Daphnia pulex: one gene and its partners. The protein of the gene in region 1 purifies or fractionates together with the protein of each later gene. This does not show direct contact. Links are inferred from orthologs where the notes say so. Each region holds a gene or a part of one and is shown on either strand. Other genes may lie near its edges.

Region 1 (4,115 bases):
ACATCACTTGAGACTATAATTTCACGTTTCTTCATTCCTCACCCAGCCGCCTTAAACCCTTGCGGCCCTTTTCTTCTTTCAATTTGGACATTCCCTGCTGTTTCACCAAGCCATAGAATTTGGTTTCCTGTTTTAAACTTTGCTCTCTCTCCCCTCTTCAAACTCCCTCCTTTCCCCCCTCTGGCATCCGGCATCCTCTCTATTTGCCGCAAGTTCCCTCCATTCTTCACGTTTTCTTTGTGATGACATCGTTTCTGCTCCATACAACACAGCATAAAACATTCAAGGTAATTATCAGGCCGTACGATCTTGAGAGGACACTTTCTTTTAATGGCAAGGTAATCGTCAAGCGGAAATGCTCGACACATGAACCGGAAATAAGGCTTTCATTGAATCAGTCACGGAATTTTCAAGAAGAAAAGAAGGAAAATAAAATAAAGACACAAACAAAGGTATAAACAAATTTTACCTCTTTGGTCCAAGGTCCCTTAACCAGCTGAGGATTGACGACTTTTGTCCATCGGTGTTGGCATTGAACGTCCGATCGATCTTCAAAGAAGGAGGCTACGTTCTCCCAAATTTCACCGGTGCGTTCCACAACTCCTTTAAGTTTTTCATCCTACAAAAAGGGCAAGAAAATCATTAACTCTACAAGACTTGGGGCTGAAAGTTGAAGGGGTAGGTAGTGGGCGGGGGAGGCAAACTCACTTCGTCCTTGGTCCATCTCCCGCGGTTCACCATTTTTCTGGCTTGGGCACCTCCTTTGGTTTTTGTAGCAACCCGGGAGGTGGCTGTTGAACTCGCTTGGTGGTGTTGGGCGCTGCTGGAGGCAGTGGCGGCGCCGTTCGGCTGATATTCACCATCTGAAATATCCGATCCAAAGTCCTCGCCATAATCCGAGCCCCAACTGTTGCTATCAGCGTCCATTCCAAAGTCGTTCATCTCGTCTACTTGGCAGGTCTAAAAAATCACACAATTTTCTGGGTTATTATTTCACGTCTTACGGTACAGGTATGCGTTGACAATGGCTCCAGTTCGCCCATTCAAATTCCTACGGTAGGGTTTTGGACAATGAATGGATTGCAAATGGAAAAGAAAGTTCTTCACGCTCTTGTGTGCACATGGTTGCAAGGGAGATTATCCGGCGACATGACTCAGAATACATTAGCTCTGTACTGTAAAAAGACCGAAGTAGAGGAATAATAGAAGAAGAAAAAAAACAGTAGACGACTGGGCTCCACTGCAAAGACGGAATATTTTCTTCCGTCTCCAAATTCACCCTCGTCGCTCTTATTCGATCTCACATTTCTTTGCCTGATAAAAGGAATGTTTCCCTATGGTGGGTGGCGCGATCTAGAACCTCGAAGAATCTCTCAAGAGAGAAAGCCAGGGGGACGGATCGATAACCGTGGGACAGGCACAAGGTCTTTCATAATCGGCCATGAGTGAAAGAAAAAGAGGAAGTCTACCACTACGACGCTGTATGCACGCCGGCATTGAACATCTGCTACAGCTGCTGCCCCTCTCTTCTGAATTCAGCCCCCCTCGCTCGATTCCAACACAATCTCCCCTCTCTCTGCAAGCAAAAAACCCTTGTGTTCCAACATAAGAGAGCAACTTTTATTTTGATGCCATCTCGACGTCCATATTTACCCCTCGTATATAAAAAAATAGACGGCGTCGCTTGTTCTGTGCTCTCTTGACCTCTTTTGCTGGGACTACACAGTGAATCAAACTTAAAGCTTGTCGATGGTACCCCCCAACTTGCCCGGAACTAAATAAAGACAATGCCGTATACGGGCGCGCCTGTGTTTAGCCATCAAGCAGCTGCTGTCACCCCCCTATACAAATCAGCCTTCACTCTAGTGGAGGGGAAACCAGGTCTAACACAATTATCGGGCAGGTGGTCAGCACCAACATGAAGCGAATTCCCTATTAAGATCAAAGTGATAGATGTGCTTTTCGGTAATAATGAAAGACCCGTGCCAGAAGGACAATGGAAAACGACGAACAAACGTAGACGTCTCGAAGAAATGCTAATGACCAATGGAGAGAGGCCCGACTTTCCATTTTTGGAAACAAAATGCTGAAACCAAAACTTGCTTCAGAAATGTTTACCAATTTCGAAGAAATTAGGAAATGAAATGGACTGTCGGAATAAGAGTTACTTTCCATTGGGGAAACGATAACTTTTGAAATTGAATTAAAGATTTCAAGATAATAAGAATCACTTCACAGAAAAAAAACCGGCTTTGTTCTTATCTCGGTTATCTTTGACTCCCAAACACCGATTTTTTTAAAGTTTTTTTTTCTACCTGCAGACAAGACAATTGAAACCATATTCTTCTATCGGTTTGGATTAAAAGAGGTAAAACTCTTTGTCCAGGCGAGACTAAGACCTTTTCAGCTCTCCTGAGAATTTAAACATAAAAAAGGGTATACCTGCTTAAGTAAAAAAATCGCCAGAAAGTCGACAACAGACTTGACTTATTTTTCTGAAATTGCAATACAACTTTTCGAAAATTTCTTTGTCCTAAGAGAAAACTAGCATCAAAAGAAAGCGAAAACTCTGTCCAGACTGGGCCAAACGCACAACTCGAAAAGTCTGCTTTGTTGCTATAATCGTCCCCACCACTTGTGGAGGGAAACAAGGCATGCTAGATAGAGATTTCACGTTTTACCTTGAGTATTGAATCGTAGTTGGCAACGGGTCGGGTAAATGAGTGATGTTTTACCTCACCATGGTGAGATGATTGTAAACAAATCCACAGAATCTCACGACACTACTGTTTCGTTTCAATTACTTAGCACTGTTTTCAGAAAGCGGACACACCGCAGCTGTATGTTTTGAGCGACTACTAGGGAATGGCGGCCATTGGAGTTCCATGAGGCGGGAAGCCTTGTTGTCAGTACCCTTCCCCTTTTTTGAAAAAAAATGGCGCCCAAGCTTGGGGATGAGGAGCGTCGCCTATTGGTTCGCATTGTTTAAGCTTTCTGATTGGCTGGCTTTACGCAATTCAAAAGTTTAATAACAGATGGCGGAGCTGATTACGATTGGCAACAGCTAAGATAAAAATAAAACTAGACAAAATATAATACTGCATCTATGCACTCGTTTTTACTTATCTTTGTATGAACTCATCTTATATTCTGCATTTGAAATTGATAAAATGTCTATTTCAATGGGTTTTTTCATCTTGAAAATGAGATTAGGTGCGATGATTTTGTTTTCTAATTTGCGCTCGCGTTAAGGAAACGCTAACATGACTAAAATCATTAAATATTAATTTCAAAAATTGTTAGGAAGTATAACTTTTCGAACAAATGGAAAGATAAGATGACTAACCGAAGTTTATTGGTATTTAGACGAGGGAAAATGTTTTCTCTCAAAAGATAAGGAAGAGGGGAATGGCAACCAGTATATAGAACCTTTGTGATAACAACAGAGTAACAAAATTTTTGGATAGCAGCAATAAGAAAAGCCACTACTTCATTGTTATACAAATATTACAAAGCCAAATCACATTTCGGTTACAGCTGTCGCATCAGCATCAGCCAAAGAAATCGCCATTTACGGATGAACGACTTGAAACCAAAGTTCCACTATACAGGGAACTCCTTGACCTGAAGATTCTCGATGTAAGATTGGGATTAGCGATGAATCCAGTTCCTCGACACATGCATTCGGCAGGGAGGTTTGTCCGGCTCCTGCTTGATATTCCACCTAGACAAAGCCGAACATGGTGGATGATTTGATATTTTAAGAGAAAAAGGTATAATCTAATTTACCGAATCTCCGTCCAAAGAAACACGTAGCCCAATCAAAGTGTGAGGCTCGAGGCTTGCGAGTTTGGCGGCCAGAGCCACTGATGCAGCTTTGGCCAAAGTTTCAGCGAAACGTGTGATGTCTCCATTATCCTCAATTCTATTAGAGGAAGAGCGTGCACTGTCCTCTATTTGAATAACAAAAAGTTCTGTCCAACGCAAAAGTCTATGACCCTCGCCTTTAAAGTCACGCGGCTGCATCACTCGAATCGATGATATCCCAGTGAAGCTTCGACCATCGATAGGAGATTGAACTCTTTATCAAACAAGCAATTGTTAATTTACAAAAT
Region 2 (4,230 bases), on another chromosome or scaffold:
CTCTCGGCGTTCAACTTCTGTATTCATATCTCTCAGTCTTCTAACCTTATCTTTTTTCATATTTAAAATCTTCGAGAGTCGTACCTATAGAACAAATATATGTTACAAATTTCCAATAATACGCAGATTTTCAAAGGACTTACGATTGGTGTCAGAACGTGGATGGGCAAGGAGCCAAACGTCGTTTCTTGTGGTGTCAATCTTGAATTAGACGATCCCAAGACAGGATCGCTGACTAAACTTGAAGAATCAGAATGAGAAGTGTGTCCAATTCGTGTGCCACTGACATGTGAAGTTAAAGATAAAGTAGGCATTGCAACTTCAAGGGAAGACTGTTTAATGGGCTGTTGATGTTGACTCGAGATTGTTAGTGTTTGCTGCTGTGAAGCCATCAGTGGTATTATTGCGGGGGTCGGTGGTAAAACAGCTGGGCGAGGGCGAAACCGTTGAGCCAAACTCGATATCGAAATCATGTCTACTGTTTCATTCGACTAACAAGGAAATTTGTTTTTAGTTGAAGATGTCTTTCGTTGTCAAGACGAACATTACACGTACCAAAACTTCGTAATCCGGAACAGAGTGTGTTCCCAATCCTTGTCTATCAAATGTGATGCGGTATGTATTATTGGACGTATCTACGGCATCGATTTGGCCAACGAACAATCCATCCTTTAATGGGAAGAAAAAAATAAATAATTACTACGTATTTATTTTTCCTTCTTTTTAAATCATAAATAATTATAGTCACTAGGTCATAGTTTTAACGTCACACTCCACATATTCTTTTATTGAGCTATGTATACCCACTTCAAACTCTTGCGCTGTTATCTTAAAACACTTAGAATAACTACGGCAATCATCTCATATATACTAAGGGAATCGAAAATACTTCGGCATTTCATTAGACCAACGGCATCTTGGTATGATCACACAAGATTGCCGTCGACTGACGAAAAATCGATAACAATTTAAGTAAATAGCTGAAGTATTGTGCTTAAGTGTACCTGTGGTTGCCGAAGTCTGGCCGTCACTTTGGTGCCGATAACCAAAGGCATAGGGATAAGATCCGGCAAATCCCTACAAAGAGATGCCATATCGCTTACTTTGCGCTGTTGAACTAAACGAATCTTCTGTCTTTTTTTGGCCAATTCTCCTCTTTCTTCATTAAAAAATGCCTAAAATGAATCAAGAGGGGGAAAAATTGGATAAGAAAATGTTAGAAACTGGACAAGCCATTTGCATGAATAAAAATTTAGGCACCTGAGAACAACGTCTTGGTCTTCCCATAAGACGACGGATGGTACACCACTGGGATCTAGTAAGCTGTCGCAATTTCAAGCTGGGGAATGACTCTCGTAAACATAGCATAAAGTCATTGTCGCCTTCAAACAATGCTCTAAAATAAATAAATAAATAATAATAATTAAAAAAAAAAAACGGTTACAGCAAAATGGAGTGCTTCACAAATTATAAGGAAATCGACGAAACACACAACTACAACCATTTCTTTTTCCCCATGCAAGGTATAAAATAAATGGCACAAAAACGTACTGGTCTAGATTACTGTAGAACCATTCATAGCAGACCCATTTGTGCGCTTTGGGTAACTTAAGTAAATTGCGTAAGCGGACACCAAGTTTTTTCAAGTCTTCGGCTTCTTGCTCAGCCGTTGTTGCTGCAACCGAAGGTAAAGCGGCCGCGGCCACAATACTCCGAGCACGACGTCCAACAACTAAAGGTTCACTCTTCTGCTTTTCCGGCAACTAATACAAATGATATAGTATACAATTATTGGCAATATTTAATATATAAAAATTTTACCTTAAAAGCTGGCTTAACCTTCATTTTCTTTAGCTTTGCCTTAACTCGATTAGTAGTTTTGAGCGGCGTCGAAGCATTTGATCCACTGCGACGTTCCGGAGTACCAGTTGCACTGCCAGGTGCAGATCTTGTGTGGCCTGTAACACAATTTACTGTTAATCATGATTACATTTTTTAAAATAATTTATTTAACCTCTCTTTATTATTTTTGAAGTGGTAACTTGAGGTGCTAACTGGTTTGAATGAGATGATCCACTAACACCACTGTTGGATTTTGTGGATTTCCTTGGAGATTTATTAGTAGATTGGTTGACAATAGTATCATCATCAAAGAACAATGGATTCTTTTTTCGAATTCTTGCTGGCTAAAATAAAAATTAGTTTCCACAATTTATTACATCATATAATCAAATAAAGTCCAAATAGTCTCACTTACAATGCCTCTTCTGTTCAATGTGATTGGATTTGAAGTGGTACTCCCAGTTATTTTTGAACTAGAGGATGAATTTACATCACTGATCCGTTTTAATCCAAACATTTCTGGGCCTAAAGTCATTGCTTGATTCGCCTGTTCTGAGTCATCTCCAAAATCAAGCTCTCTTTTCACTTTGAATCCTCCATTTTTGAATGAAAGTAAAGCTTCTGCAGATTCAGCTATACAGAATTTCAAATATAAATATTAAAGTTAAGTAAAACTCTTAACACAATGTACTTCAATTGATTTGGAAAATCTATTAATGCTCAATTTTCATAACAATTGGTTGAATGAGAAATTACAAACTTAAGCAAATATGAGGTAACAATATAAACAAGTAAGGAGCCGTTCTAGAGCTTAACCCAAATCGTATCAGACAGAAATTTATAATAAATTATTAAAACTACAAAAGATTTTCAAACTGAGTTTAAAGAAAAAACATAATTAACCGTCAAAGCTTAATTGTTTGTTTACGTTTTGCAGTTAAGATAACTTACTTTCAAGTAAATCCGCCATTTTCAAGCAGTTTTTTCAACTTTCAGAATCGCTCGAATCGTCAAGCTTGGGACGTTGCCGCATTGACGAATTGTAAACCAAAAAAAAAAATTAATAAAATATTACATTTTTCTTGCTGATTTAGTGATTTTTTTACTTCTAAATTATAATAATCTAAATCCTTTTTCTAATATTTTATTACTATTTTAAATTGTAGCTTGCATTTGTTATTGGATACCTCATAGCTATTAACACTCTCGAATCACAGCAAATTTTTATCCCTGAGGGTAGTACTTGTACTACCAGAAGGCATTAAAGTAAATGCGGGTGTCTGGGTGTGTAGGAGGGGGAGGGATGTGGGGGGAGTGTACGCTGTTCTGGGCCAGGCTTCCAGAACCTTTAATTCAGAATCAGAATAAATTTATAGAAATCTAAACTACTGCATCGATTTTCTTCAAACTGTTTGTGTAAACTTACAGTAATTTATCTCAGCGGATAGGTAAGTTTCGATTCATTTGGTAATACTAAATTTAATTTAATTTTATGCGGATTTAGTCATTAGCTTTTTGTGACTTAGGACAACCACAACATCAATTCGATTGTCTGTTTGTTTTGTTTTTGTTGTCTGATTTATCAGTTAGTCAGTTACCGAACGTCGTCATCATGTTGACATGGTTAGCTTGCAATTTGTAATTATTAAAGTAACGCATAATTTCAACATTCCTGTTTCAATTCTTAGGCAAAAGACTATACTATGGATTACCTTATTCATCATTGTCATTGTAATTGTTTCGCATAGCTAAATGCTTCATGAAGGGTAAATCAACGCAATATCATTTATTATTTTGAGTTTTCTTACGTATTTTGTTTGCCTAACTAATTTTGTTGTGACGCCCAGGAAAATGACCATAAAATGGGTTTGCTTGATTTTCATGGTAGTGTATTAAACCATTTCTGTGAGTCACTCATTGATTTTGTTGTGACGCCCAGGAAAATGACCATAAAATGGGTTTCTTGATTTTCATAGTGCACTAAACCATTTCTGTGAGTCACTCACTGATATAAATACCATATGATGAGTAGTCATCATGTATGGTAAGCACTGAAATAATTTACCATAATTGTAATGCCTCACGATAAATTTTATTTTGACTGTTAGGCTAATGATTAGAAGTTAGACATGAATATGTATCGTCCTCACCTAAATTTGGATGTGCACGTGTCTGTTTCAGAAAGAAAGTTAAGGACAGGAGAAGATGAGCATTGGTAATACTAAATTTTATTTTATTTTATGCGGATTTAGTCATTAGCTTTTTGTGACTTAGGACAACCACAAAATCCATTAGGTTGTCTGTTGACAGTCTGTTGATGTCTTGTTCAGTAAAAATAAATTTCGTCAACAGTTTTGTTATTGTTACAGGATATTGTTTCTCTTTTAG
Region 3 (3,108 bases), on another chromosome or scaffold:
CATGAACTCATTTTTTAATTGAAGCTTTAACTTTGAATTCTTTCCAGGGAATACTGGAGTGTGTCGTCAAATAACCCTCGTTCCTAGTATACGAGACGTGGAATGGAATTCCGTTACCTGCCCAGTTAGCCCCACTTCTCTAGGAATATTGTCGGAAGGAATTGACGGCGCTGACGTTTATTCGTGCTGTGCATCTAACTCCAGGCAACTTATGTGTGCAGGAGACAATAAAGGACGTCTTAAGCTATACAGATATCCTTCCCAACCCAAAGTATAACCCAAATTTTTATTTTACCTTTTAAATTGTAATTGTTAAATCATTGTGATATTTCATATTTTCCAGTCGCCTTGCCATTCTTACCAGGGGCATAGTAACATCTCGAACGTTTGTTTTCTATCTGACGATACAAGAGTATTGTCGGCCGGTGGTCGCGATTCGTCAGTAATCCAGTGGACAGTAGAAAATTGACAAATACCATCCCTTTTCATGCGTAAAAAAAGAGAAAAACAAGAAATAGTAAAATTCGACATCTCTGTTGTACTTATCATCAGAGTCCACAGCTAAACTATTATTTCTTTTAAAGAACGAATAAACAAAATCAGAAAAAAAAGAAATGCAAAATTTGTGTTAGACTTGTTTCAAATTAGTCAACATATACTATCATATTTAGATTTTTCTTTTTTTGTTAGATGAAAGTATATTTAGGTATTTTCCTCTTGTCATTTCTTTGGCTTCTTCCAGACCAAGCTGATAAGCTAAATTCTGCAATTGCTTGACTTCAGCTATCAGTTCTTGTGCTGTTAATTTGGAATAACCTAAAAAAAAAGGTAAATATAAGGTAAGAATTCATTGATAATATGAACCAAATCAAGAGTGGCCCATTAAAAATTTCTGCAATGATTTATCCAAGAGTTTGGGACAGAGGTTATGGATTTTTGTAGTAAACTAAATTAGGCTACATAAAGATTACTAAAGAAATACTTGGACAGGAAATGTTTTGAATGTCTCAGATAGATTTCTAAATTGAACATTTTACACAATCTTACGTCCAACTAGTGTATAATCATGCTTGTCCAATTCTTGGGGAATGATGGATAGGGGTAACGCTGGCATCTCTGGTGATCTTGGAGGCTCAATGACGTACTCTATCCCTGGATCTATTTTAAAGAGAAGCTTTATTACAATACCCGTCGACACGGAACTTTGTAAATGAATAGTTACAGTTTCGTTCAGGCCAAATGTCAGGAGAGGCGCGATCTAGTTTTTCAGTACTAAGTAGACTCTGTTCCAAATCTGTATGAATATTTAGATTAAAAGCAGTTAACAACTTGACCAATTGTATACTACTACCTGAAGACGGTTCCTTTTTCGCTTTCATTTTTGACATTCTATTAGCGTTTGCAAGGAAAGAAACTGCACGAAACTACGCGTAGAGTTTGTTATGTTTGTGTGAGGTAAAAGCTAAAAGTAAGCTGATTGCTTTGTATTTTGTGTTTTTAGGCGTTGCAAAATTAAACAACAAATAACTATTCGCGTTGCCAGACTTTCTTAGTTTTTTAAATCTTAATTGCAAAACAGTATGCAAATCATTGATTTGAATGAAATATCCTATAATTCTGAAATTCCTTTCTTAAATTCAACTTTGAAAGATATCAATTAACTTTTTTTATATTATTTCAATATTACCCGACGCATCCCCCCTTATATTTCTGTGGATTTTGATACCCAGAGCCACCTATTGCATTTCTTAACAACCCGGTGTTAAACTCGGCTTTAAAATTTTTACCGGTGCAGCTGATTTTACCAGATAATTCCTTTTTTTAGTTTTTTTCTTAATAAACTAGTTCATACTCTAAATTAAACTGAATTTGGTACACAATATACACTGAAGATCCTGGTATTTTCGACCAGCAACCGTTTGGATAACAGATTGTTCTCAATGTAAGGCAGAATGTTTACAGTGTCCACACGATCGTATCCAAATCAATTAACCAGAGACAACTGAACATTTACCCTTAAACTTAGATCGCATCGACTGGCATCCAGGAAGGATTTATTCAGTGACAGATACTGTATACACCTGCAATTTAATTTGCGAATATTGTAATAGCATTGCCATCCGTTTGACTAGAACCGACTAGAAAAACGAATTTTTTAAATTGTGCGATGATAAACGAAATCTAATTCTAGTTTCCACTTTCCAGAATGCGACATCGCTTTCGCTGTTGTTTTAATAGCGTGAGCCTAATGTAAAAAAAACTAAAAAATACGAAGTGTTTAAAAACGCTCGACAGAAACTGCCATAATGTAAAAAGGCAACAAAAAGAAAGAAAGAGCCGGGGGTTTAAAAAAAAAAACTTGTTTGATCCATTCTGAAATGAAGGAGTGCTTGCTGCCTGGATGTAAAGTATTGGAGGAAAGATAACAATTGACGTCAGCGGTAGCCCATAGTCTCTTCCGGATCATAGCGAACAGGAAACCAAGTCCGGAAGATGACGTTAGCCTTGGTCCCCATTGTTGGGCTCCTATGAAAAGATGGCTATGTACACCAGCAGCAGCAGCAACTCTCCCAACTCAAATTTAAAAAGAAGGCGCGTGTTCGACCACTCGCCACGGAAATGGAGTAGGCACATATAATGCCGCCGCGCGCGGCCTCCCTTTGCTCTTACTCTTCTCTTACTCTTCTCTCTCTCTCTTGTCACCCAACTTTATACAGCCCTCTGCTCATTTTTCACCGTTCACCAAGCCCATTTCAACTTTGCCTTTATGATGAGTTCGTCCTCTTTATTCCGTTATTTTTACGCTTCATCAAACAATACAAGCTTAATAAATAAATAACTGGCTACCGGTAGTATATAGTGATGCAATGTTTCGACTAGGCTTTTGATGTCGATTCCTTCAGTTTGAGTTGGCCAACACAGTCTAATGCTGATGCGGGTTTTTATTCACTTTCAAAAACTGGCCCTCCAATCAAATAAATAAAAACAGTTGCTTCAGTAATTCAATTATTGAAAAATAGCCTAACCAGCGCATCATATTTTTATGAAATGGTGTTTGATTTAATCTACATACATATTTAACTGTATTTAGCGATAGAAGTTTCAATT

Evidence for each region.
Region 2: the proteins of myb-related protein A-like (region 1) and protein lin-9 homolog purify together in Drosophila melanogaster (affinity purification with western blotting; 5 studies listed by BioGRID). This does not show direct contact. The link is inferred for Daphnia pulex from reciprocal best matches to the Drosophila melanogaster genes Myb and mip130.
Region 3: the proteins of myb-related protein A-like (region 1) and protein lin-52 homolog purify together in Drosophila melanogaster (affinity purification with western blotting; 3 studies listed by BioGRID, with this or other methods). This does not show direct contact. The link is inferred for Daphnia pulex from reciprocal best matches to the Drosophila melanogaster genes Myb and lin-52.

The regions. Positions count from the first base shown.
Region 1 is NC_060022.1:6,349,851-6,353,965, reverse strand, and holds the start of myb-related protein A-like, read right to left. Parts: upstream 2,923-4,115; 5' UTR 2,682-2,922; intron 2,602-2,681; exon of another isoform or gene 2,443-2,601; intron 961-2,442; 5' UTR 943-960; coding exon 709-942; intron 620-708; coding exon 470-619; intron 1-469. Other genes in the region: zinc finger FYVE domain-containing protein 9-like, read right to left, coding at 3,572-3,724, 3,790-4,081. UniProt on the Drosophila melanogaster protein: DNA-binding protein that specifically recognizes the sequence 5'-YAAC[GT]G-3'. Component of the DREAM complex, a multiprotein complex that can both act as a transcription activator or repressor depending on the context.
Region 2 is NC_060023.1:5,470,662-5,474,891, reverse strand, and holds the start of protein lin-9 homolog, read right to left. Parts: upstream 2,864-4,230; 5' UTR 2,813-2,863; coding exon 2,794-2,812; intron 2,476-2,793; coding exon 2,258-2,475; intron 2,187-2,257; coding exon 2,015-2,186; intron 1,959-2,014; coding exon 1,822-1,958; intron 1,764-1,821; coding exon 1,552-1,763; intron 1,397-1,551; coding exon 1,261-1,396; intron 1,176-1,260; coding exon 1,005-1,175; intron 670-1,004; coding exon 556-669; intron 492-555; coding exon 144-491; intron 85-143; coding exon 1-84.
Region 3 is NC_060027.1:6,465,697-6,468,804, forward strand, and holds protein lin-52 homolog, read right to left. Parts: upstream 1,703-3,108; 5' UTR 1,389-1,702; coding exon 1,352-1,388; intron 1,295-1,351; coding exon 1,223-1,294; intron 1,159-1,222; coding exon 1,048-1,158; intron 817-1,047; coding exon 668-816; 3' UTR 519-667; downstream 1-518. Other genes in the region: echinoderm microtubule-associated protein-like 2, read left to right, coding at 48-271, 344-469.